Linked DNA regions of Oryctolagus cuniculus. Each later gene encodes a partner of the first gene's protein in a complex. Links are inferred from orthologs where the notes say so. Each region holds a gene or a part of one and is shown on either strand. Other genes may lie near its edges.

Evidence for each region.
Region 2: the proteins of MLXIPL (region 1) and YWHAB are in contact, whole or in part, in a crystal structure (PDB 6YGJ), measured with the Homo sapiens proteins. The link is inferred for Oryctolagus cuniculus from reciprocal best matches to the Homo sapiens genes MLXIPL and YWHAB. Residues at the interface, in NP_116569.1 of Homo sapiens: Asp118, Ile120, Arg121, Asn124, Ala125, Trp127, Arg128, Ala129, Trp130, Tyr131, Ile132, Tyr134; in NP_003395.1 of Homo sapiens: Gly55, Arg58, Ser59, Trp61, Arg62, Ser65, Ser66, Gln69, Lys70, Arg129, Val178, Tyr181, Glu182, Asn185, Leu218, Gln221, Leu222, Asp225, Asn226, Leu229, Trp230.

What each region holds. Positions count from the first base shown.
Region 1 is NC_091450.1:50,446,330-50,457,075, reverse strand, and holds the end of MLXIPL (carbohydrate-responsive element-binding protein), read right to left. Parts: intron 10,421-10,746; coding exon 10,338-10,420; intron 10,225-10,337; coding exon 10,135-10,224; intron 9,870-10,134; coding exon 9,825-9,869; intron 9,389-9,824; coding exon 9,187-9,388; intron 9,070-9,186; coding exon 8,989-9,069; intron 5,545-8,988; coding exon 5,375-5,544; intron 4,222-5,374; coding exon 3,681-4,221; intron 3,473-3,680; coding exon 3,405-3,472; intron 3,320-3,404; coding exon 3,169-3,319; intron 3,056-3,168; coding exon 2,943-3,055; intron 2,848-2,942; coding exon 2,728-2,847; intron 2,516-2,727; coding exon 2,388-2,515; intron 2,290-2,387; coding exon 2,166-2,289; intron 1,858-2,165; coding exon 1,728-1,857; intron 1,517-1,727; coding exon 1,398-1,516; 3' UTR 948-1,397; downstream 1-947. UniProt on the Homo sapiens protein: Binds DNA as a heterodimer with MLX/TCFL4 and activates transcription. Binds to the canonical E box sequence 5'-CACGTG-3'. Plays a role in transcriptional activation of glycolytic target genes. Involved in glucose-responsive gene regulation.
Region 2 is NC_091442.1:14,266,928-14,278,148, reverse strand, and holds the start of YWHAB (14-3-3 protein beta/alpha), read left to right. Parts: upstream 1-3,935; 5' UTR 3,936-4,071; intron 4,072-11,221. UniProt on the Homo sapiens protein: Adapter protein implicated in the regulation of a large spectrum of both general and specialized signaling pathways. Binds to a large number of partners, usually by recognition of a phosphoserine or phosphothreonine motif.

The DNA.
Region 1 (10,746 bases):
TCTCTCACTGTCCACTCTGCCTGTCCAAAAAAAAAAAAAAAAAGTATTTGGAAGGCAGCGTTATGGGCTGGGGAGAGAGCAAGAGAGAGAAAGAGAGTGAGAGAGAGAATCTTGTATCCACTGGTTCATTCCCCAGATGGCTGCATCTGCTGGGGCTGGGCCAGGCTGCCAGGAACTGCATCCGGGTCTTCCATGTGGGTGCAGGGATGCAAGCACTTGGGCCATCCCCTGCTGCTTTCCCTGGCGCATCAGCAGGGAGCTGGATTGGAAACAGAGCAGTCCCAGGACTGGAAGCAACACTCTGATGTGGGGTTTGCGGGCCTGGCCAGCAGCAGCAGCACCCACTGTGCCACAAGGCAGGCACCTGGCTTTGACACCTCCATCCTCACGGCAAGGCTCCGAGGCAGATGCTGTGAGAACGCAGTGAGTGAGTACTTAACAAAGCACTCAGAATGGGGGTGTGTGGCTTGCGGGAAACACCAAGCACTTCTGGGCTTGTTCTTTGCAGGCTCAGATGAGAACTGACAGCCCACAGAAGCCCATGTGTGCGTTTCTTGCAACCCACAGGTGCGTCCAGATGTCCCACTGAACGCCAGCTCCACAGAAGGGGAGATAGAGCCGCAGGCTGTGGCCTGGTCCCCAGCAGGCCCACAGGAAATAGTGGCACCTCCACTCCCATCGTCCTAGCTCCGCCCTCTTCCAGCCCCAAAGGCAGCCTCCCTGGCCTCTCTCTTGGCCTGGAAGGAGGATTTCCTGCACAGGAGCCAGGCCCTGGCCCCACCTGGACACACACAGCAGCCTCCTAACTGGTCTTCCTGCTCGTGTACCTATTCTCAGCCCAGCCCACCTCTCCCCGCCACCCCGGGGCAAGGTCTTGGTCGGGGACTCCCAACTCCTCCCACTGCCACCGACAAGGCACGTGGACAGTCACATGGACAAAACAGCAAGGCGGTTTTTGCTTTTATTGGTTAAGAATTCTTTACAAAACACACTCACACATGCGCACACACACACACGCACATGCGACGCCTGCCCTGGTCTCTCCCAGGGTCAGGTCTTTCTGGCTTCACTCCAGGGGCCCTCCCCAGCCCCCCACACCGTGCCCCGCTGCTGGGGAGCAGGTGGGGTTGACCTCTTCCCTCTTTGAACTCCCTGAGTCACCAGTGCAGGTGCTGACGTCATGGTTGTTGCTAAGGCCTTGGGGACGTCGGCTGCTGGAAGCCTCCGTGTGTCCATTTTTGCAGATTGGAAGACAGAGGCCCACGTCGGTGTACAGTATGAGACTCGGCGGGACCTGACTCAATCCATCCTCAGGGGAGGGCAGAGCCAGGGCCTGGGGCAGTAGGGGAGCACATGCCCGGGGAAGACAGCCCCAGGGCAGCCGGGTCTGGCCGGGACTACAGCGGTTTGCCAAGGGTGCCCTCTGTGACTGCCCGCGTGGCTTGCTCAGGTACACGGCCTGGGTCGGTCAGGATACTGGTGGACGTGCTCAGCTGGCGTAGGGAGTTCAACACGGCTAGGGGGTGGCAGTGGGGAGACAGACTGTCACCTGGGGTCAGGCCCTATACCCCGGGATGCTGCGGACAAATGGTGGTGGTGGTAGTGGGGAGACCCTGCAGGGAGCAGATCCCAGGCTGTGTGGGAGGCCAGAGGGACCTGGGGTCTGAGCAGGGCTCTGAGCAGTTGCCCACCCTCGGGGCAACGCGCCTGCAAGGTGGCTCACGTACTTGGCCGGAGAGCCGGCAGGGAGCAGTACTGATCCAGCCAGGCCAGCGAGGTCTGACGGAGGCTGTGCAAGCTGGCCGTGGACACCATGCCATTGAAGGACTCGAACAGGGGTCGGATGAGGATGCTGAACTGGTCCCAGGTCAAGGAGCGGGTCTGAGGCCAGGCTGGTGCCCCCACAGCCTCACTCACCCTAGCCCTGACCCTAGGTGGGGCCTGGACACCATCCAACCACAGGCTCCGGTGACTCGCGCTGGTGCACCCGTCCCATCCCCACCAAGGCCCTGACTCCTACGCTCTTCTCCCAGTCCCTCCACGGCCCTTTGCGCTGACCGAGAAGCCAGGGGTCAGGGAGCAGGAGGCAGACCCACAGCCCGTCCCCCCTCCCCCACTGCCCCTCCCCTGGGAGCGGCCCTGGGCTGCCGCGCGCGCTAGGATACCACCCAGAACTTCCAGTTGTGCAGCGTGCGCGTCCGCACGTAGTCATCGAACATGTCTCGCATCTGGTCGAAACGCTGGTGCGTGATGGGCACCCCCGTGGCGGGCAGCTGCTGCTGGCACAGGCTGCGGGCGGGCGCAGGCGGGCGCGCTCAGGGCTGGGAGGCAGACAGTCCCGGCCCTCCCCAGGAGGCCACGGCGCCCGCCAGAGGGACCCTGCCTACTTGATGGCGGCGTTGAGCTCCTCGATCTCGTCGCGCAGCTGCTGGGCCTCCTCCTGCATGGCCGCGCGCTCCTGCTGCAGCATGACGATGTACTCGGCCGTCTTCTGGAGCGTGGTGGCCTTGCTCACCTGCGGCCGCCAGCAGGGGGCGCTCAGGCGCTGGGGGCCGTCTCTTCGGACCCGGGGTGTACGTGTGTGTGTCGGGGGGACCCACCCGTTGCACAGCGCGGGGCGGGAGGAGACCGCAGAGCGTGCGGACGCGGTCTCGGGCATGGAGGTGCAGGAAGGGGCCCCGTGGTGGCGGTGGGCAGGGGGCGCCGGCCCGGGCATGGGGGTTGCACCTTGATGCTGGGCTGGGCGCTGAGCGTGCTCACAAGGCCGTGAAGCGTGTCGAACCCCAGCTTGATGTTGAAGCGCCGCTTCTGCTCCGCAGAGATGTGCGTGATGCGCCGGCTCTCGGTCTTGGGGAGCAGACACCGGGTGAGCCCAGGCGGGGGCCCGGGCGAGCCTGGGGGTGGCAGACCCGGGCTCGGAGCCAGGGGGACGACGCCCCCACCTTGTTGTCTGGACGGCCGCGGCTCAGGATGGGTTGAGCGGGAGAGACTCGCAGGCTCAGGGCCGCCTGGCAGGGCGCGGAGTTGAGCTCCACTGACAGCCGCCGCTCACTGCCTGTAGCGGGGACAGAGGGGCCCACAGACAGACCGACACACAGGTGGGGGGGTCCCACTGCCCTGTCCCCCTCAGCCTCTCCGTCTCTTAGAGTCCCTGGGACCCCTCTTTACCGCTGGGTGCCGGGGGCGAAAGTCTTTCCACCTTGGGGACAATCAGGGGCCTGGGAGCGGCCGGGGCAGCGGGGCCTGGCGGTGGCCGGGGTGGCGTAGGGGCCAGGGCCGGGGGATAGAAGGCGCAGGAGAATTCAGGGGTGGGCTCCTGCTGCGGTGGAGCAGGGCAGAGGGTTAGGGGGTGGGGAGAGTCCCCGGGCCCCCCCCCACCTCCCTCCCAGTGGCCACCAACTTACGGGGGACTCCGTGGGCTGGAGGAGAGCACCGGGGGCCAGCGGTGGCTCCAGGGCGTGCTCAGGTTTGGCTGTACACAGGCAGGACCGTGAGGGCTGCGCAGGCTGGCCCAAGCCCCATCATTGCTCAGGACTGCGACCTCAGTCCTCTCAGGCACAGCTGGCCGAGGTCCCTAACTCCTTGCCTCCTCCACACCCCTCCCTGCTGGGCCTGCCCCCAGCTCCCCTCCCATGCCTGGTCCACTCCTCCCCCTCTGGCCGCTCTGCTCCGGGTCTCACCTGCAGTGAGCAGCTGCGTGAGACAGGGGTTGTTGCTCCTGGCCGTGGCAGGGGCCAGGGTTGGGGGGCTGGCTTTCCGCCCCCCAAGGGATGTGGTGGGGGGCTTGCATCTGGGCCGCACACCCTGAGGCACTGCGAAGCCAGGCCCGAAGGCAGGCTCTGGGTACCCAGCGGGGAGGTGGCCCAGGGGGAAAGTGGTGGGGGCAGGGCCTTGCACCTGCTGGGGGGTGGGCAGGAAGGGGGTGGGAGCAGGCAGCGGGGACACGCCTGGGGCAGGAGGGGCAGGAGGGGCAGTCAGGAAAGGGAACCTGGGCGGGAAGACAGACTCTCCCTGCTGCAAAGCAGCCTGCGAGGGCGCCGTGGCAGGGAAGGGGGCCGGGGGGCAGGGCTCCAGGCCGGGCACCTTGGCAAGGCTGGGGCATTGGAGGAGAGGTGGGGTCGCAGGGTGGGGCGGCAGCTTGGGCTTGGGGTCTTCAGGAAGGAGGAAGTCAGAGCTCAGGAAGGCACTGGGGTCCAAGGAGCCAGGGCAGCTGCTCCGAGCCTTGTTGGGGGGCAGAGGGGTGGACAGAGAGTTAGAGAGCAGAGTGGGCCCTGCAGCCCCCACACAGCTCCTGCCCTGGTGAAGTGTAGATTGGACACTGGTGGGGGGAGAGGGGAAATAACCCCTGCCTTCCAACACACACACACATGCACACACTCGCACACATACGTATACATGCATGAAGTCATACACATATGCACACATGCACATGCAGTCCCACACGCATACACAACACACAGCAGGGAGAGTCTACTCTGGTGAGCGGAGGGGAGTGCATCTCGACACAAGTCAGCAGGTTTCCTGCCTTCCATTCATCGCCCCGACGAGCAGCCCATCTCCTAACGCTTGCGCCAGTCTGCCCACGGACCAGTCCACCCACCCAGGCTCTATCCATCCATTCTCCACCCAGGCACCCCCCTCCTCATGGAGCTCACTCACCTGCCTCTCCCTGCCCCAGCCCCACTACCTGTCACTCATCCGTCAACCCATCCATCAGCGATCCGCCCATCCGTGAGCCACCTGGGCACCCCGCCCCCCCCCCCCGAGCCTCTCACCTGCCCACCGGCCCATTCATGGAGACACCAAGCAATGCATCTTGGAATCCAGGCAGCAGCCCGTCCATGCCACTGGCCACTCCCTGCTATGCTAAGTCCCCCGCTGGCCACAGCACATCTCCCATTCCTCCCCCAGCCTGCTCGCTCACTGCACAGGCACTACCTGGGTGCGCTTGTGCACCTGGACGGTGGCCAGGGTTGGTGAGCAAAACACTGCCCTTTCTTCCAGCAAGGGAGGAGGAAAGAGACCTCCTCAGTGGGCCACTCTAACAGCCTTGAGATCTGCCCGGGACGGGGAAGGGTGTGACAGCGAGGGGGACAATAGGTCAAGCGCGACTGGAGCTCTCGAGCCAAAATGAGGGTTCCCCAAGCCCTGAACCTGTAGGCTCAGCTTCCCTGCCCTCTCTGCCCCTGGTTTGCTCTCTGCCCGTCTCTTCCCACCGAGGCCCACAATTCCCCCTCCTCCAGGAAGCCTTCCTCCCCAGCCTCCCTCCCAACCTCCCTCGTGTCCAGTTCTGCTTCCCAGGGTCCTCCCTGCCCAGGTGGACGCCGAGACCCAGGCAGGGCCCTGGGGTCAGCTCTCACCCAGGTGGGCTCACCTGCAGGCGGTGGTGTGCTGAGAGCTGGGTCGGACCTGTGGAGGCTGGGGGCACCTCGGGGCCCAGGACCCCGCTGCTGAAGAGGGAATCAGCCATGGGGCCGAAGCTGGGGGGCTCGGGGAGGCTCGGGGGCGCAGGAGTCTGCGGGGGCCGGTAGTTGGTGAAGAAATCTGTAATTGAGTCACACAGGGAGGTGGCACTTAGGGCTCCTGCGGGGGCTGGGAGGCAGTGGGCGGAGAGAGGGCATCAGGCTGGCCCCGGGGCTGGGGTGGGGGTGCTGGCGGGAAAAGGGGGGGCTTACACAGGAGATTGTGAAACTGGGGGCGTTTCTGTCTCACTCACGGGAAGCGGCGACAGAGGCTGGACTGGGGTGGGCATGGCGGGGGCGGTAAGCAGAGACCCCCAGAAACCCAATGGGCCCCCATCCTCGGCCCCTGTCTGCCCCCTACTCCAGTTTCTGCTGGAGGCCCAGGAAGGGGGTGCAGAGAGGGCAGAGTGGGGGGCTGCGGCACCCTAAGGCAGCATGGGTTCGGGGTGAGTTAGAAGTGAGCGAGGTCAGGGGGTCAGAGGCGCTGGGACCAGCTAGGTTTACTGTGAGGTCAAGAGCAGGGTGTTATGAGGGGGTTGACAGTCGGGTGGGGCGGGAGTGGGAGTGGGAGGGGGCCGGGAGGCCCGAGGCGCTGGGGAGGAGGGCGGCCGGATTGTTTGGGGTGCGGGTTGTGTAAGTCTTAGGCTATTCTGGTTTTGGGAAGCAGCTGGCTGACCACATCCCGGGCCGGGGCGCCACCCGCCTACCCGCTCCCTTCCGGCCACCTTTCTCTGACCCGACCAGCCATGGTCCGCGCCAGCTCCCAAGGCCTCCGGGGGCCCTCACTCTGCCCTTCCAGCCCCCCACCCCAACCCAGAGAGTCTCCCCTCCCCCCACCTCAGCTAAGGACACCAGGAATGGGTTGAGTAAAGTCACAGCTGGGACTGGGACCCAGGACCCGGGGGTGTCCAACACATGTGCGTGTGTGCGTGTGTGGGCGTGCGTGCAGCTGACAGCTCTGCCAGGATGTGGGGCCCGAGGGGCCAAGGGGCCGACTCTGGGAGGGTCAGCGTGCTGTCTGCATGTAGCGTCTGTTCCCCTTGGCGTCGCCTCCCGGCGTCTAGAGCTGAGCTGTGCTGAGCTGAGCTGACCTTGCCCCATGCCCTGTGCCGTGTGTGTGTGTGTGTGTGTGTGTGTGTGTGTGTATGTGTCTTTCCTCAGCACAGGGCTAGGAGGTGGCCCCTTGCTGTCCACCGAGGGACTGGACGGACACGGCTGCTGTGGGCCTTTGGTGCTGCGGCTCAGCTGCCCCCCCCACCCCCAGAAGTTCACATCCCGTGTCCGGGAGGGCCTGGATCCCAGTCCCGGCTCCTGGCTCCAGCTTCCTGCTAATGTGCACCCTGCAAGGCAGCAGGCGCTTGGGTCCCGGCCACCCGTGTGGGAGACCTGGCTGGAGCTTGCGGCTGCTGACTCTGCCTGGTCCAGCTCTGACTGTCGCGGGCATTCGGAGAGTGAACCAGGGAGATCTGTCTCTGTGCCGGTCCAATAAAATAGAGGGACTGGGTGGGACAGGGCCAGGGGTCACTGATGCCACCCGGGACTGAGGGACCCTGGGACTGTGGGTCCCACCATCTTGGGGGGCCCAGGCTCCAGTTCACTGTAGCTGCCCACCACACACACAGCAAGCCCGCCCCAGACCTGAGCCTCCAGCCGTCCCCTGACCATGGACAGCCCATGCTGTCCCCACCCTACCTTGGGGCAGTCACTTCCTGGCCCAGCCACCCACTGAGCCCTGAGCCCCTCCAAGGCCTCCCCTCACCCAGTGTGCCCCCGCCGCGGCTCCTGGCCCCTCCCTGGGTTTCCAGCCTGACCTCCCCAGGGAGGGGCCCCTGGGGACACTCAGAGCGGCAGTGCACACAGTGCTCGCTCCAGGGGGCCGCACCAGGCCTACTGTTCTTTGTGACCCATAGCCGCCCCCACCCAGCAGCCACCCTGGATTGACAGTTGATTCCCAGCCCCAGACCAGCTCCTACCTGTGGCGAGGGTTTGGGTGCCCACCCAGGGCTCCTGCTCTCGCAGGCCGCTCTGCTCCCGGGGCACGGCCATCAAGACTTCTGCCCCCAGCAGCCCCCACCCGGCTCAGGGCTGGGGGCGGTTCCTCATTCCCTAGTCCCCGCCCCCATAGGCTTCAAGTCCCCACCCTATAGGCCGCCACCTCTTGACTGACAGCACCCTGGGCGAGGGGGAGGGGGAGGGGTTGGGAATTACCGAAACTGAGCCTCTATCCCAGGGACCCTGTTTTGGTCCCCTAGGCCGCAGGTGAGACAGGCCGAGCCCTGACGTCCGCCTGACATCTACAGCTCAGTGGGGCAGAGACTGTTGTGAGAACCAGGGCATGTGTGACCCCCTCCGCAACCAGCAGGAGCAGCCATGGACTTGGTGGCCCTGCGGGGGAGGCTGGGGAACTTACTATTTTATTTAAACGCTTGCTTTTGAATTGAGGGGTAGACAGAGAGACAGACAGACACAGAAAGCGTTTCCATCCACTGATTCACTCTCTAAATGCCCACAACAGCCAGGGCTGGGCCAGGCTGAAGCCAGGAGCCAGGAGCTCCATCCAGGTCTCCCACGTGGGCGGCAGGGGCCCAAGGACTTGAGCCATCACCTGCTGCCTCCCAGGGTGCGCATTAGCAGGAAGCCGGATGGCAAGTGGTGCAGCCAGGACTTGAATGCTGATGTGGGGTGCAGGTGCCCTAAGCAGTGCCGTACCCACTGCTCTAAACTCCCACACTCCCCCCAAGAACTATTTGCACATGAAAATGATCTAGAGGCGAACTTTGTGGGTCCAAAGGGACATTCTTGGTTTAAGTAGGTTTTCCCAAATGGTTACATGCCACCTGTTCAGGATGGAGGTTAAGACGGCCACAGCCCAAAGCCGCGTGCCTGGCTCTGGCTCCTGGCTCTGGCTCCCTGCTCATGTAGACTCTGGGAGGCAGCAGGCAAGGCTCACATAACAGGGTCCCCGCCGCCCACGTGGGAGACCTGGATCGAGTGGCCAGCTTCTGGCCCTGGCCCTGGTCCTGTTGAGGACATTGGGGGAGTAAATCGGCAGATGGAAGTTCTGTCTGTCCTGTCTCTCTGCCTCTCAAACAAGCACATTAAAGGGTTAAGCCCACCACCTGCAATGCCAGATCCCGCCTGAGCGCCAGTTCAATTCCCGGCTGCTCCACTTCCTACACTGCTCCCTGCTAATGCACCTGGGGAAGCAGCGGAAGATGGCCCAAGTGCTTGGGCCCCTGTACCCACGTGGGAGACCCAGAAGAAGCTCCTGGCTTCAGCCTGGCTCTGTCCTGGCCATTGCTGCCGCTTGGAAAGCAAACCAGCAGATGGAAGATCTCTATCTTCCTCTCTCCGACTTTCAAATCAATCAATCAGTCTATATTTTAAAGGCGAACAGGAAGATTCTTCAGAATCCACCCAGGCCACCTGCCTGGGACAGGCCTGAGGTCTGACAGTCAACCCAAGGCTTTCCTGTACTTGACCCTGCTCCTGCACCCCACCCCACCCCCGGAAGGGCCCCGCCCACCTGAGATCTCCATGAAGTCATCCAGGCTGGGCTGCAGGGGTGTCAGGTCCGGTTGGATCATGTCAGCATTGCCCACGTAGGCTGCAGGGGGCAGTAGTGCACCGTCGGGGCCAGCAGGCAGAGAGCGGCCTGGATCGTCACAGGCCTCGGCCTCCCTCGGCCCCCCTCCCGTCCCCCAGCACCCACCCCGGCCCTCACCATCCTCGGGGGGCAGCTGCAGGGGCGAGGGCCCCGGCTGAGTCATGGTGAAGAGTGTGTCGGAGATGTCGGACAAGAAACTGTCGATGTCCAGCAGCTGCCGGCCGCCTGGCTCCTCCTCGGGGCCCCCCAGCAGCACCGGCACCACGCTGGAGAAGAGCTGCTGGCACCATCGCTCCCGCGGCGGCCACCCCGTTTCCGGCTGGTGGGACAGAGCACTCACCGCCCGGCCCTCTGGGTCACCCCTGTGGGGGGTTCAGCCAGAGCCACACACCCTCACACACATCTGCCCCTCCTCCTCTGTCCCTGCAGGACCCAGTTGGCCACCTGGAAGGCCAAGGTCATCTCGTGGGCCCCTACCAGCTCCCCCAAGGGGTATCCTGGTCTGAAAGAGGACCCCTTCCTGCCCCTTTATACCTGTGTTGGGGGGTGGGGAGGGTTGGGGCCCAGCCCTTAGCTCCCTCGGCACCCCCCGGCCTCCCTCCACTTGCCCAGTGGCCTGGGGGGGTCCTCCCAGTTCTGCGGCCTCCCAAGGGGAGAAGTGCTCCACTAATAGAGCACAGTGAACCCCAGGTCCCTGGCTGGTCCCCTCACTGCCCTGTCCACCGAGGCTGAAGCTGTCCACCCTCTGCACGCACCTGCTTGGGAGCCAGGAGGTCCCCTTCTCTGCTGGACTTCCGGAGCTGCAGGAACACAGAGTCGGACCCTCGATTCCTTGCTCTCGCCCCCCACAAAACGCGAGCCCTCGGTCGGCCTCGGGAGTTCCCCCCAAACCCAGACCCTAGAGGATGCAGCAGGCTGCGAGGAGTCCGCGTGGCCGCACGGTGGCGCTGTCGCCCTCCAGGAACGCAACAGAAGGCGCGAGGCGAGTGGGCTGGGCCGCGGCCGGCAGGGGGCACTGTGGGTGGGGGGAGGTGTTGGGGGGGTGTCCCTGGACTGGCCACTGACCCGCTTCTTGTAGTAAATGCGCCACTTGTGGTACTCTCGCATCACCACCTCGATCCGCCGCTTCCAGTAATTTCCCTCCAGGACGACGGCCTGGGGAGGGTCCAGGGGGAGGGGGCTCAGAGAGAAGGCGGCCCGGGCACCCCGCCCCCAGCTCCCGCCCCTCGCTGCCCCTCTGCAGGGGGAGGGTCCCGGGTCCCCGCTACCTCCGGCTTCCGGTGCTCATCCGCCTCGGGCCCCTGCAGGGGGGTCACGAAACCACACACGGGGCTCTTCCTCCGCTGCACATCTGAGGGAACCGGGCCGGGTCAGGGCGCCCCCAGCCCTTGCATCTCCCCGCCCAAGGGCACTGGTTCTCAAGCAGCACCCCACGAAAACCTGCTGGTGCCGCCTCCTCTGGGAAGCCTTCTTGCCTGCTTTAACCCCCCCCCCCCCAGATCTTCCTCCTCCAGGTATGCACTGACTTCCCACACCTCTGTGCCCGCCCCCAACCCCCGGAGCTTGGGAGCTTCCAGCTGTGGGGCCACAGGAAGTGAGCTGCCCCAAGAAGGTCCTGGCCAGGCTGGAGTCCCCGCAGCAGGCTCCCCACCACCACCACTGACGCCCCAGGCCAGG
Region 2 (11,221 bases), on another chromosome or scaffold:
CAGTGGATGGAAGACCTCTCTCTCTCTCTCTCTCTCTCTGGCTCTACCTCTCTCTGTAACTTTGTCTTTCAAATAAATAAAATAAATCTTTAAAAATAAATAAAATTTTTTTTTAAAATACACTAAATAAAAAGCTTTAAAAAATACCCACAGACATTTCTTCTCTTACAATTCTGGAGGTTAGATGTCTGGATTCAGTATGTCAGCTGCAACTCTGGAGAGAATCCTGGTTTCTGGTGGTGGCTGTGGATCCCTGGTGGTCACTGGTTTATGGCTTCATCACCCTGGTCTCTGCCTCTGCTGTCATGTGGCATTCTCCATGTGTCTCTGTCAGCACGTGCCATTTTCTTCTGTGGGGATACCTATCATGTTAGAATAGGGCCCACTCCAGTAGCCTCAGCTTAACTTGATCACGTCTGCAAAGACTTTGTCCAAATAAAGTCACATTCACAGACATATAAGGAATAAGATTTCAATCTATCTTTTTGGAAGACATAGTTGATTCTTAGGAATAAATTAACAAGCTAGTACATTCATACAATAAGATATTACTCAGTGAGAGACACAAAGAAACTTCAAATCATATTGCTTAGTGAAAGAATTCCGCAGGAAAAGGCTACATACTATGTGATCCAACTCTAATGACATTCTGGAAAAGGCAAAATTACAGAGTGCAAAAGGTCAGTGGCTAGGGCCAGCGCTGTGGCGCAGCGGATTAAAGCCCTGGCCTGAAGCGCCGGCATCCCATATGGGCACCGGTTCTAGTCCCAGCTGCTCCACTTCCAATCCAGCTCACTGCTATGGCCTGGGAAAGCAGAAGATGGCCCAAGTTCTTGGGCCCCTGCACCCACGTGGGAAACCCGGAAGAAGCTCATGGCTCCTGGCTTTGGATCGATGCAGCTCCAGCCATTGCAGCCATCTGGGGAGTGAACTAGCAGGTGGAAGACCTCTCTCTCTGTAACTCTGTCATTCAAATAAATAAAATAAATCTTAAAAAAAAAAAAAAGGCCAGCAGCTGCCAAAGGTTTGGGGGTAAGCTAGGAAGTTCCTGGAAGACCAGGAGATTTTTTTTTTTTTTTGACAGGCAGAGTTAGACAGTGGGAGAGAGAGAAAGGGAGATTCTTTTTTTTTTTTTTAAAGATTTATTTATTTATTTGAAAGTCAGAGTTACACAGAGAGAGGAGAGGCAGAGAGAGAAAGTCTTCCATCCGATGGTTCACTCCCAGATGGCAACGGCCAGAGCTGCGCTGATCCAAAGCCAGGAGCCAGAAGCTGCTTCCAGGTCTCCCACGCAGGTGCAGAGTCTCAAGGACTTGGGCCATCCTCTACTGCTTTCCCAGGCCATAGCAGAGAGCTGGATCAAAAGTGGAGCAGCTGGGACTTGCTTCAGACCAGGGCATTAATTCACTGCGCCACAGCGCCAGCCCCCAGGACCAGGGGATTAGTAGGGTAGCAAACTCTTCTGTATACTTTAATGACAGCTACATCACATTGTGCATTGTCAAAACCCACAGAACTGTGTACAATACAAAACATGAACTCTACTGTAAATGGACTTTAAACATAATGTATTAATATTGGTATATCTATTCTAGCAAATACACTACACTAATACAATATCCTAATGATAAGGGAATCCTTATCCGAATGATAAGGGAAACTGTGAGCCTGGGTGTTTGTGGGGGGTGGTTGGTGTTGGGGGGAGAGGGAAATATTAAAATTCTCTGGTCAATTTTTCTGCAAACTTAATACTCTAAAAAGCCTATTAATTTTAGAAAATGCATTGCAGAATCGAAAGCTCAAGCATCATCTCTCCCAGGAAGTCTTGCCTGCTCTTCTGCCACACCCCCAAGATGGGTTAGGGGCCCTTCTCCCAAGCTTGAACAGGACCCTGCGCACATATGGTTGCGTATTCCACATCCTGTTTTATACCTCTTTGTATGACTGCCAGTTAATAGCCATAGCTCACTGACCTCTGTTCTAGAATGCAGAGGTGGCAAAAGGAGCTAGCTATGCAATCCGTTAGCAGGCACCCAGGGATGCCTGACAAAGGGCACTTCTGTGCTGCCGATGATGTAACCTGTGGTGGAATCACTATGAACCCTCTGACTCAGTAGGCTGTGTTCCGGGTGGGAGCATAAGACACAGTCACGTCACGTTACAGCTTACTGCTCCTGAGCAGTCTCTGGATCACTGGCCTTTGGTGTGCAAAGATCCCCACAGGCAAGTTTTTGCACTGGCAACTCTCTCTGGGATTCAACCCAGCGGTTCTGATTCAAGTCCACGCTGCTTACATTCTATACCAGGTTCCCAACTTCGTCAAAGTTAAAAGCCGGTAAGTGGTTCAGGCCGTGTGGGATAACCCAGGCGTTGCAGGCACAAAGGCCTATGCAGCGGTTACTGTAACTGAGGAAGGCACATTTGGGTGGCAGACTCAGATTTGCAGGGCACCCTGGCACTTTGGGAAGTCCGTGCCCAGTCTAGAGTAAGGCAGCCACTCCCCGGCTTCGGCCAAGTGTTGCCAGAGAAGGCAGCGATGGCCGGAAATCTCTGCTTTCGAAAACACTGCCAACTCAAACTGTTTAGAAATAGTCCCGCTGGGGGGTAAGGAGTCATCCAACGGGGTTAGGGTATTTACGATGGGTTATGTATGGGTAAGGGGAGCTTCTGGAAAACCTTGATTGTAACACTCAAGGAACTTACTATTGATAGTTTTCAAGGTCTGAGTGATCAGCAAAGGATTTAAGTAGGGACAGAACATGATTAGAATGGCATTAAACATTTTTTAAAAATATACTTGAGAAAGAGCACTCGCATTTACTGGTTCACTCCCCAAATGGCCAGACCAGCCCAGGCAGAAGCCAGGAATAGGAACTCAAACCATGTCTCCCAGGCGAATGGCAGGGATCCAACTGCTGGAGCCATCACCTGCCGTCTCCCAGGGTGGGACTTAGCAAGAAGCTGGAATCTGGGTGCCCCCCACCGTAACTGCTACACCTGCATTTTTAGATCAGTAGGCAGCTGATAGAGGCGGGGCTGGGCATGGTGTGGCGAATTAGATCTCTATCATTAACTAAATAAGGGTAAGGGAGAGATGACAGCAACGCGACCCAGGTACTTTTTTCTTCTGCCGCCAGACTCCCAGGGGAGCAGGGCCCCCTCTCTCCTGTGTATTGCTGTCTCTCCAGCACTAAGCGGAAAACCCGCTCCGCATCTGTCAGCATGAACAGGTGAGAGGCCAGAGAGGGTGAGGGGCCACGCGGCCCCGTGCGCCTCCCTGCAGCTTCCTCAATGAAGAAACCATGTGCACAGGTTTTTTTCAGAAGACCTTCACGTGGCCTCTTCAGGCTATGAGGGCAGGAGATAGTCCCTTAAGTACAGAAAGGCGGATAAACCGAAAACGGGGGGACGAGCAATTTCTGTCTTCCGAGGTCCAGTTATTCGCACAGCACGCAGCCAAAGGGTGTGTGCGCTGGGGCTCCGACCCCCGGGAGGACTACTTCCGGGGTGGCGTGGGAACCTGCACCCTGGGAATCGCTGTGCCTGGCCCTGCCCAGGCTCCAACCTAAGCAGCGCGGGCGCTCCCCCACCCGAGTCCTCCCTGTTCCCACACATCCCATCTCTGGACCTCCACCCCCATCTCCGCCCTCTCTCCTCCCGCCTCCTCTTCCCGTCCCCCCGCCCCACTTCCTTCCCCTTCGGCCGCCTCCTCCCTGCTACCTCTCCCGGCCCTGCGCCCGCCCCGGTCCGCTGCGGCCCTGCACTGGGCTCTTCTTCCTCCTCCCTGCCGTCAGCGCCCCTCTCGGGCGGCCAGGGCAACCCCGTGCCTCACTTGCCCAATGAGAAGACGGCGCAGGGAGGGGCGGGGCTTGAGCCAAGCGGAAGCGGTGGCCGGAGCGGAAGTGGAGCTGCAGCCACCGCCGCCGCCGATTCCGGAGCCTGGTTAGCTGCTGCCGCTGCCGCCCCTGCAGCCGCCGTCGCCGCTGCCTGAGGAGCAGGCTTGGGAAGGAAGCGGTCGCCGCTCTCGGAGCTTCGCTCGGAAGCCTCTTTGCCCCCTGCAGCCCTCCCACGGTGAGTGCGGCGCGGGCCCGCCCGGGGCCCCCAGGGGCCCACGCTCCAGGTCCCCCTCAGCCCGCGGCTGCGATGTCGGCCCTGCGGGTGAGCCCCCGGGGGTGGCGGTGCGCGGCTGCCGCGGCCCTGGCTGCCGGCTGCGGCGCGGGCCCGACCTCGCCGCGGCCCCTCCCTGTTTCCGGGGCCGGGCCCTTCGCCTGCAGAAGCCCGGGCCTCCCGCGCCGCCGGCGGCCCTGCCAGGCGGGCAGGGTGCGGCTCGGTACTGCGGGTCGGGGACGGCTGAGCCTTGGCCCCGGCCCCTCCCTCCTGGCTGGGCTTTTATCCCCGGCGCGACCCCTCCCTGCGCCTCGGTCGGCGAGAACTACCCTTTTCAGCCCTGTCACTGCGGCTCTGGGGCTTTCCGGCTTCCAAAAATTAAAATTTAAGCAAACGCAGGCGAGTTCTTGCGCCCCGGTGCCCCTGCTTGGCTACCCCTGGATGAGTAAGGGGTTTAACCTTGGGAGACAGCAGGGGGGAAACCCCCACCCACTTTGCAGCAAAGCCATTTCATCATCCTCCGCTGGGTACGGAGCCCGGCAGGACCCGAGATTCCCTGGGAAGATCAGGTCGGAGGTTTGAAGCAAGAAAATGCATTTGTTGGGACCGATGTCTGAGTCAGGCCGGATCTCCAGGGGAAAAAAGCCACCAGCTGGTGTTGGGAATATTTTCCCAGGGCATGCGCCGTCATTTAACGCCCGAGTGTTTCGTGTCCTCGGCCCAGATTCCCCCTGACTGTGTGTGAGAGCACGTTTTTCAGTCCCGAATTTCCCTGGTAGCCGGGGGAAGGGATGAGAACGCTCGACTCCTTTTCTATAGAAGCTGAGTCCATTTTTGCCTATTGCAAATGGAGAACTCGCATGTAATGGAGTTTTCAAAGGTGGCAGCATTGGCTAAGACAGTTTGCCAACCTTTCTGTAAAAATACATGGCGTCTTGTCCTTGCCTTTGCTGCAGTTCTCTTTGGTAAAGGCTGGATGGCATCAGGCTCTGATTTTCCTTGCCCTGTGTGGGAGCTGGAATTTGGCAAGATGATGTTGCGAACATAGAAAATCGGCTGGCTACAGGAGCCACGAGGGAGAAATGGAGCGCTGGGAAGCTGAAGGTTCCTTGCACTGATTACTTTGTCTGAATGGTCCACATGGAGGCACACACCATATACAGTGATGTAGAAATGGACACGTGGCCACTGAGATTTCTGCATCTTCCTGTTGGAATTTTGTATGTATAGAAATATTGCTCGGTAGTGAATTTCTTCATTGCTTCCAGTGCACGCCATTTCTTTCTCAGGGATATTTTAGATATCTGAGCCCTCATTTTTTCTGACCCATGTCTCTAACAGCACATAGTATGGAGAGTATAAAAACTGGTCAGTTTTGTCAGGTCCAAGTTGGAATTTTAAGCTTGGCCTTCAAAATGGGTGGCTGCAAATCCAGTAGCAATGGCTGGATTATTTTCCCATCTGCCTTCAATGAGATAAGTCAGTCACCCATCTTACAGATGAAGTCTGTATGAGAAAGGTGATTTGGCCTAGCCCACACACTTAGCTTCACACTGAATATCCTTATTCATCAGTAGCAAATATTTATGGACCGTAAGCCCCTGGAGTATGGCTCCTACCCTGTAATTTTGTGTACATTTCCCATGATGCAGTGCTTGTGTTATGGTGAAGCCATTTTAGAATTGGATCTCCCTGGATCAGGGAGGCAGCCTTTCTGAAACCAGGCTGAGCAGATTCCCATGGTGCTAGTTCCTAGGCAGCGTCTCCGGAGATCTGAGCCACTGCGAAATGTGCATCTTGCCCATTTGGCTGTAGGTGCAGAAACCAAAGGAGTATTGAAATTGGAACCAGGTAAATGCACTTCAGATGTAGGCGGTAATATTTTTTAGTATGATTTGCAGCATTTTAGTTAATCTCTAGTGTGGTCATGAAGCTTTTTTACAAACTGTAAATTGTTAAATGAAAGCTTTTGCTTTTTTTTTTATGACAATTTGCTTTTCTCCAGTTACATTTGAGACCCAGCCCTGCTTTGTGCACATACTGCTTTCAAAAAATGGTGTTGTTACCAATTTTTATTTTGCACATAGAAAATCTAGTCTGTCATTTTCTCATCTGTACAGTGCAAGTGGTGATGCAGCCTTTGATGTATTGTGACAACTCAGTAATTAAAATGAGCATCTGGGATACAGAAGGTGATTAACCACATGCGTGAATGTGCACATGTGCAGATCAGGCGTAGCGTATATTGTATGACATAAACAGGAATGTAGACTACACCTGTTTGATTTATTTATCACCGATGAAGTAGCATCAAACAGTAATAATAATAAATAATAATTACAGTATTTGCTGTGTGCCACAATTTGTTCTAAGCATTTTATATTAGTCTTAATAACAACTAGTGAGAGGTAAATACTGTTAGCCTCATTTTACAGATGAGGAAACTGAGGCACAGAGAAGAATAATTTTCCCAAGACCCCTTCCATGTACAGCTCAAGGTAAGTTCTAGAGTCAGGAAGGAATTGGAGCCAGGTGATCTGGCACTAACAAAGAGTAGGTGTCTACTTGTAGAGCAACACATGCCGATCATTTATTTAAACACCATTTAGCCTTTAATTTCTCTTTACATGTATTCTATATCCTTGAATTTGAATTGTAGCTATTTTTGACAGTAGATCCGTAATGTACTTTATGGGGGGGGGTGCCCATTCTGACCTGTGGGAATGAAGCCGCAGGTGTGCATCATGAAGCACGCCTGGGAGGAATCCAGTTTTTCTAGGGCGAAAGCTCCTGGGTTACTTTGTGGGACACAGACCTAGATTCTTCATCAAAACGAATTTGATCATGACCATCATTAGTTTTTATTTATCATGTATTTTTCTGTAGATTTTGAGATTTAACATAGTTTGTTGGAGTTGAAGGAATATATATGTAAAGGAAAAATTTTAAATTACAGTGTCACGTTATGCTACCTGCTCCTTCAGTGGCACCAAACTAAGCAGTTTTTCTTTAAATAAGAATGCTTTAGGGGCTGGTGCTGTGGCAGAGTGGGTTAACACCCTGGCCTGAAGTACCGGCATCCCATATGGGCCCGGTTCCTGTCCAGCTCTCTGCTATGGCCTGGGAAACAGTAGAAGATGGCCCAAGTGCTTGGGCCCCTGTACCCACGTGGGAGACCTGGAAGAAGCTGCTGGCTCCTGGCTTCGGATCGGCAGAGCTCCGGCCGTTGCAACCATCTGGGGAGTGAACCATCGGATGGGAGACCTCTCTCTCTCTCTCTCTGTGCCTCTCCTGTCTCTGTGTAACTCTGACTTTCAAATAAATAAATAAATCTTTAAAAAAAAAAAAAAAGAATGCCTTAGAGAGTAAATAAAAATTTCTTTGTAAAGAGAGTTTTAAGTTCCTTGGTTCCTACATTTTTTTAGGGGAGGTGATGGTTCATCCTAGTAGGGGGCAAGAAAAGCAACTTAAGCTTTTTTTTTTTTTTTTTTAATTTAGATATTTATTTGAAAGGCAGAGTGAGAGAGAAGGAGAGGCAGAGAGCTCTTCCATCTGCAGGTTCACTCCCTAAGTGGCCGCAACAGGCAGTGCTGGGCCAGCCAGAACCAGGAACTTCATCCTGATCAGTCTACATGGGTGGAGATCTTCCACTGCTTTCGCATGCCATTAGAGGAGCTGGATTGGAAGTGGAGGAGCTGGGACTCAAACTGGCTTGCCTGCCTTGCAGGCAGTGGCTTAACTTGCTCCTCCACAGCACTGGCCCCACAACTTACACTTTAGAGCGATCTTGCTCTGTGTGAATATGGTCCTCATAGTCACCTGAGTGTCATGGTGAGACACAGTTGGAGCTGCGTTCGGAAGCGATAATTCTAAGGGGAATACTTAGGGAGGAAAAATAGAGTACTTTGTATTTTTGTGATGTATGTTACAGCTTTTCCTACTATAAGATCAAGTAGTGGCATCTTAAGTGTTTCTGATAGTTGTGAGATGCAAATGAGAGATGGTCTCACCAGGATGGGTCATTCCCAGCAGATTTTGGAGCAGTTGGCTCTTTTAGGAATTCTGGCCAATGCTTTATTATGTACAGTTTTCATATACTGTTTATTTGGTTTGTTTTCCTTAAGAGACCCAATAAGTAGAGTTATTTCTGAGTGGCCTTGACAAGGATAAAAAGATTGAAAGCTAACATGAAGTAGTTAGGAAACTTCTCTGTAGTGCCGGTCTTCAAAAAGCTGGAGATTCTGTCTTAAGCAAGCATTGGGAATCAGTCTTTTTTTAAAAAAGATTTATTTATTCATTATTTGAAAAGCAGAGTTACCGAGAGACAAGAGGCGGGGTGGTGGTGGAGGGTCTTCCATCTGCTTATTCACTCCACAAATGGCCACAATGGTTGGAGTTGTGCCGATCTGAATCCAGGAACTTCTTCTGGGTCTCCCATGCAGGTGCAAGGGCCCAAGGAGTTAGGCCATCTTCCACTGCTTTCCCAGGCCATAGCAGAGTGCTGGATCAGAAGTGGAGCAGTGCCCATGTGGGATGCCGGCAGTGCAGGCAGAGGCTTTACCCGTTATGCCACAGCACCAGCTCCTGTAATTGATTTTTAGTAGATAGTGCTGCATTAAAGGAGTGTTGATTTTTAAATTATGACTGGTTTAGATCCCAGTTCTACTATTTATAGCTGTGTAACCCTGAGCAGGTTACTATTTGTAAAAGGGTACAGTGTTAGCTGCTTCATCAGATACTGAGGATTAAATGAGTTGATGTAAATCCTTAAGTGCCTTGCACATTTAGGTAGACCATAAGTTATTTGTTATTTACTAAATCAGCTGGTGTTTTGTATTGCTTAACCAGTTGTGTGTGTTTTTTTGTTGTTTTGTTTTGTTTTTTTGACAGGCAGAGTGGACAGTGAGAGAGAGAGACAGAGAGAAAGGTCTTCCTTTGCCGTTGGTTCACCCTCCAATGGCTGCCGTGGCCAGTGCGCTGCGGCCGGCGTACCGCACTGATCCGATGGCAGGGGCCAGGTACTTGTCCTGGTCTCCCATGGGGTGCAGGGCCCAAGGACTTGGGCCATCCTCCACTGCACTCCCTGGCCACAGCAGAGAGCTGGCCTGGAAGAGAGGCAACCAGGACAGAATCCGGTGCCCCGACCGGGACTAGAACCCGGTGTGCCGGCGCCGCAAGGCGGAGGATTAGCCTAGTGAGCCGCGGCGCCGGCAACCAGTTGTGCTTTTGAATGAAGGAGATGGACAGGAGGTATTCTGAGGGCTTATTTAAATTCACTTTGAATATATAAGTTCAAAGATTAGTGGCTGGAAAATATTAGTCAAAAAACTTAGTGTTGTCTCCTGATAAGAACTGAAGCAATTCTTTTCATAAGGCAGGCTCAGATAGACTGTACATTTATCAGAGGTGGTCTGCCTGCTTTGTCCACATTGAAAAGTACAGCTTGTTCACCTTAAGAAAAATGCATCAATTGATTGGATGGTCTTAAATGTATTGTGTCAGACATAGTGCTGAGTTGGGTGTCCAAAGATAGAAGTCTTGGTTCCTACCTTAAGCTCACAATCCAGTGTGGGAGAAGATATTTGCAAGTAAACCATGATAAGTGCTATTCTAGAAATAGGCACAGGTAAATTAAAATGTACTTGTCTTAGAAGAGTCATTGAGGAAAGCTGCTGCCAGTGATGTCGCTGTGGCCATCTTGTGCCCCAGCTGCTCCACTTTCAGTCAGGCTCCCTGCTAATGGCCTGTGAAAGCGACAAAAGACGGCCCAAGTACTTGGGCCCTGGCCACTCATTTGGGAGACCCTGGCTTGAGTCTTGCCCAGGCCCCACCGTTGCAGCAGGTGGAGGATCTGTCTCTTGCTCTCTCTGTTATTCTTTCAAGTAAAAAAATAAATCTTTCAAAAAAAAAAAAGGGGGGGGGGCAGCCTAGATTTAAAAGAAACGAGGTAAGTAGTAAGTGCCCCTTCTCTGGCTGGCTGTTAACTTTTTGAGTGGAGTATACTGACTGCCATTTATTTAAGCACTTAACAAGTGCAGGGACTGGGCTGTATGTTTTTGCATCATGAGCATATTTACTCCTTTATAGAACTCTGAGGGCTGGTGCTGTGGCATAGCGGGTAAAGCCACCATCTGCAGTGCCGGCACCCCATTTGGGCGCCAGTTGGAGTCCTGGCTGTTCCACTGCAATCCAGCTCTCTGCTGTGGCCTAGGAAGGCAGAAGATGGCCCAAGTCCTTGGGCCCCTGCACCCATGTTGGAAACCCGGAAGAAGCTCCTGTCTCCTGGCTTCAGATCTGCCCAGCGCCAACCATTGTGGCCATTTGGGGAGTGAACCAGCCAATGGAAGACCTTTCTTTCTCTCTCTCTCTCTCTGCTTCTCTGTAACTCTGCCTTTCAAAAAATTAAATAAATATTTAAAAAAATAAAACTTTTAAGCAGTGTGTGGTTCAGACAAATAGACTTTGTTGTGTTCGTGGGCCCAAATATTTAAACCTATTCATGAGGTCAATCAATTGGGCTGTCTCTGTGGATCAGTGTTAAGATACTGTCTTTTCTCATTGATCGTTTGAAGCCAAGAGATCAATTTACTGTTTTATCTGCCATTGATTCACATTCTGTGATCTTGGGCATGTCACTTAATGCCTTCATTGTTTTAAGTTTAATCTTAGCTAATTGGATATAATTGGATATAATTGGATAATTGGATATAATTATTAATGATAACAACTGATGTTGTTGATGAAAGGGTAAGGATTTTTTTCTTTTAACTTTTAAGCTTTTTATTCAGTGAGAGAAATGTATAGGAGAGTAAGGGCCCTGTCTAAGAAAGGGAAATCTGGATTCATACTGAGCACCAGGAGCAGCCACATGAAGGAGCATGCAAGCCAGAAAGCATGGGGCAGGTGGTCCAAAGGCAGGGGCAGCAAGTGGATCTAGGGCAAAGGAAAGAAAGGGCTGGGCCCACGGTTTTCCAGGCCTTTAATCCACTTCTAAAGGGGTGTGGCTAATTAGTCTGGTTGGCAGGTAGGCACACAGATGTGGTCAGACAGGGGTGTGGTGAAGATGTGGTCTTCTAGCTCACAAACCTGATCGATTTTACCCTGTATGCCTGCC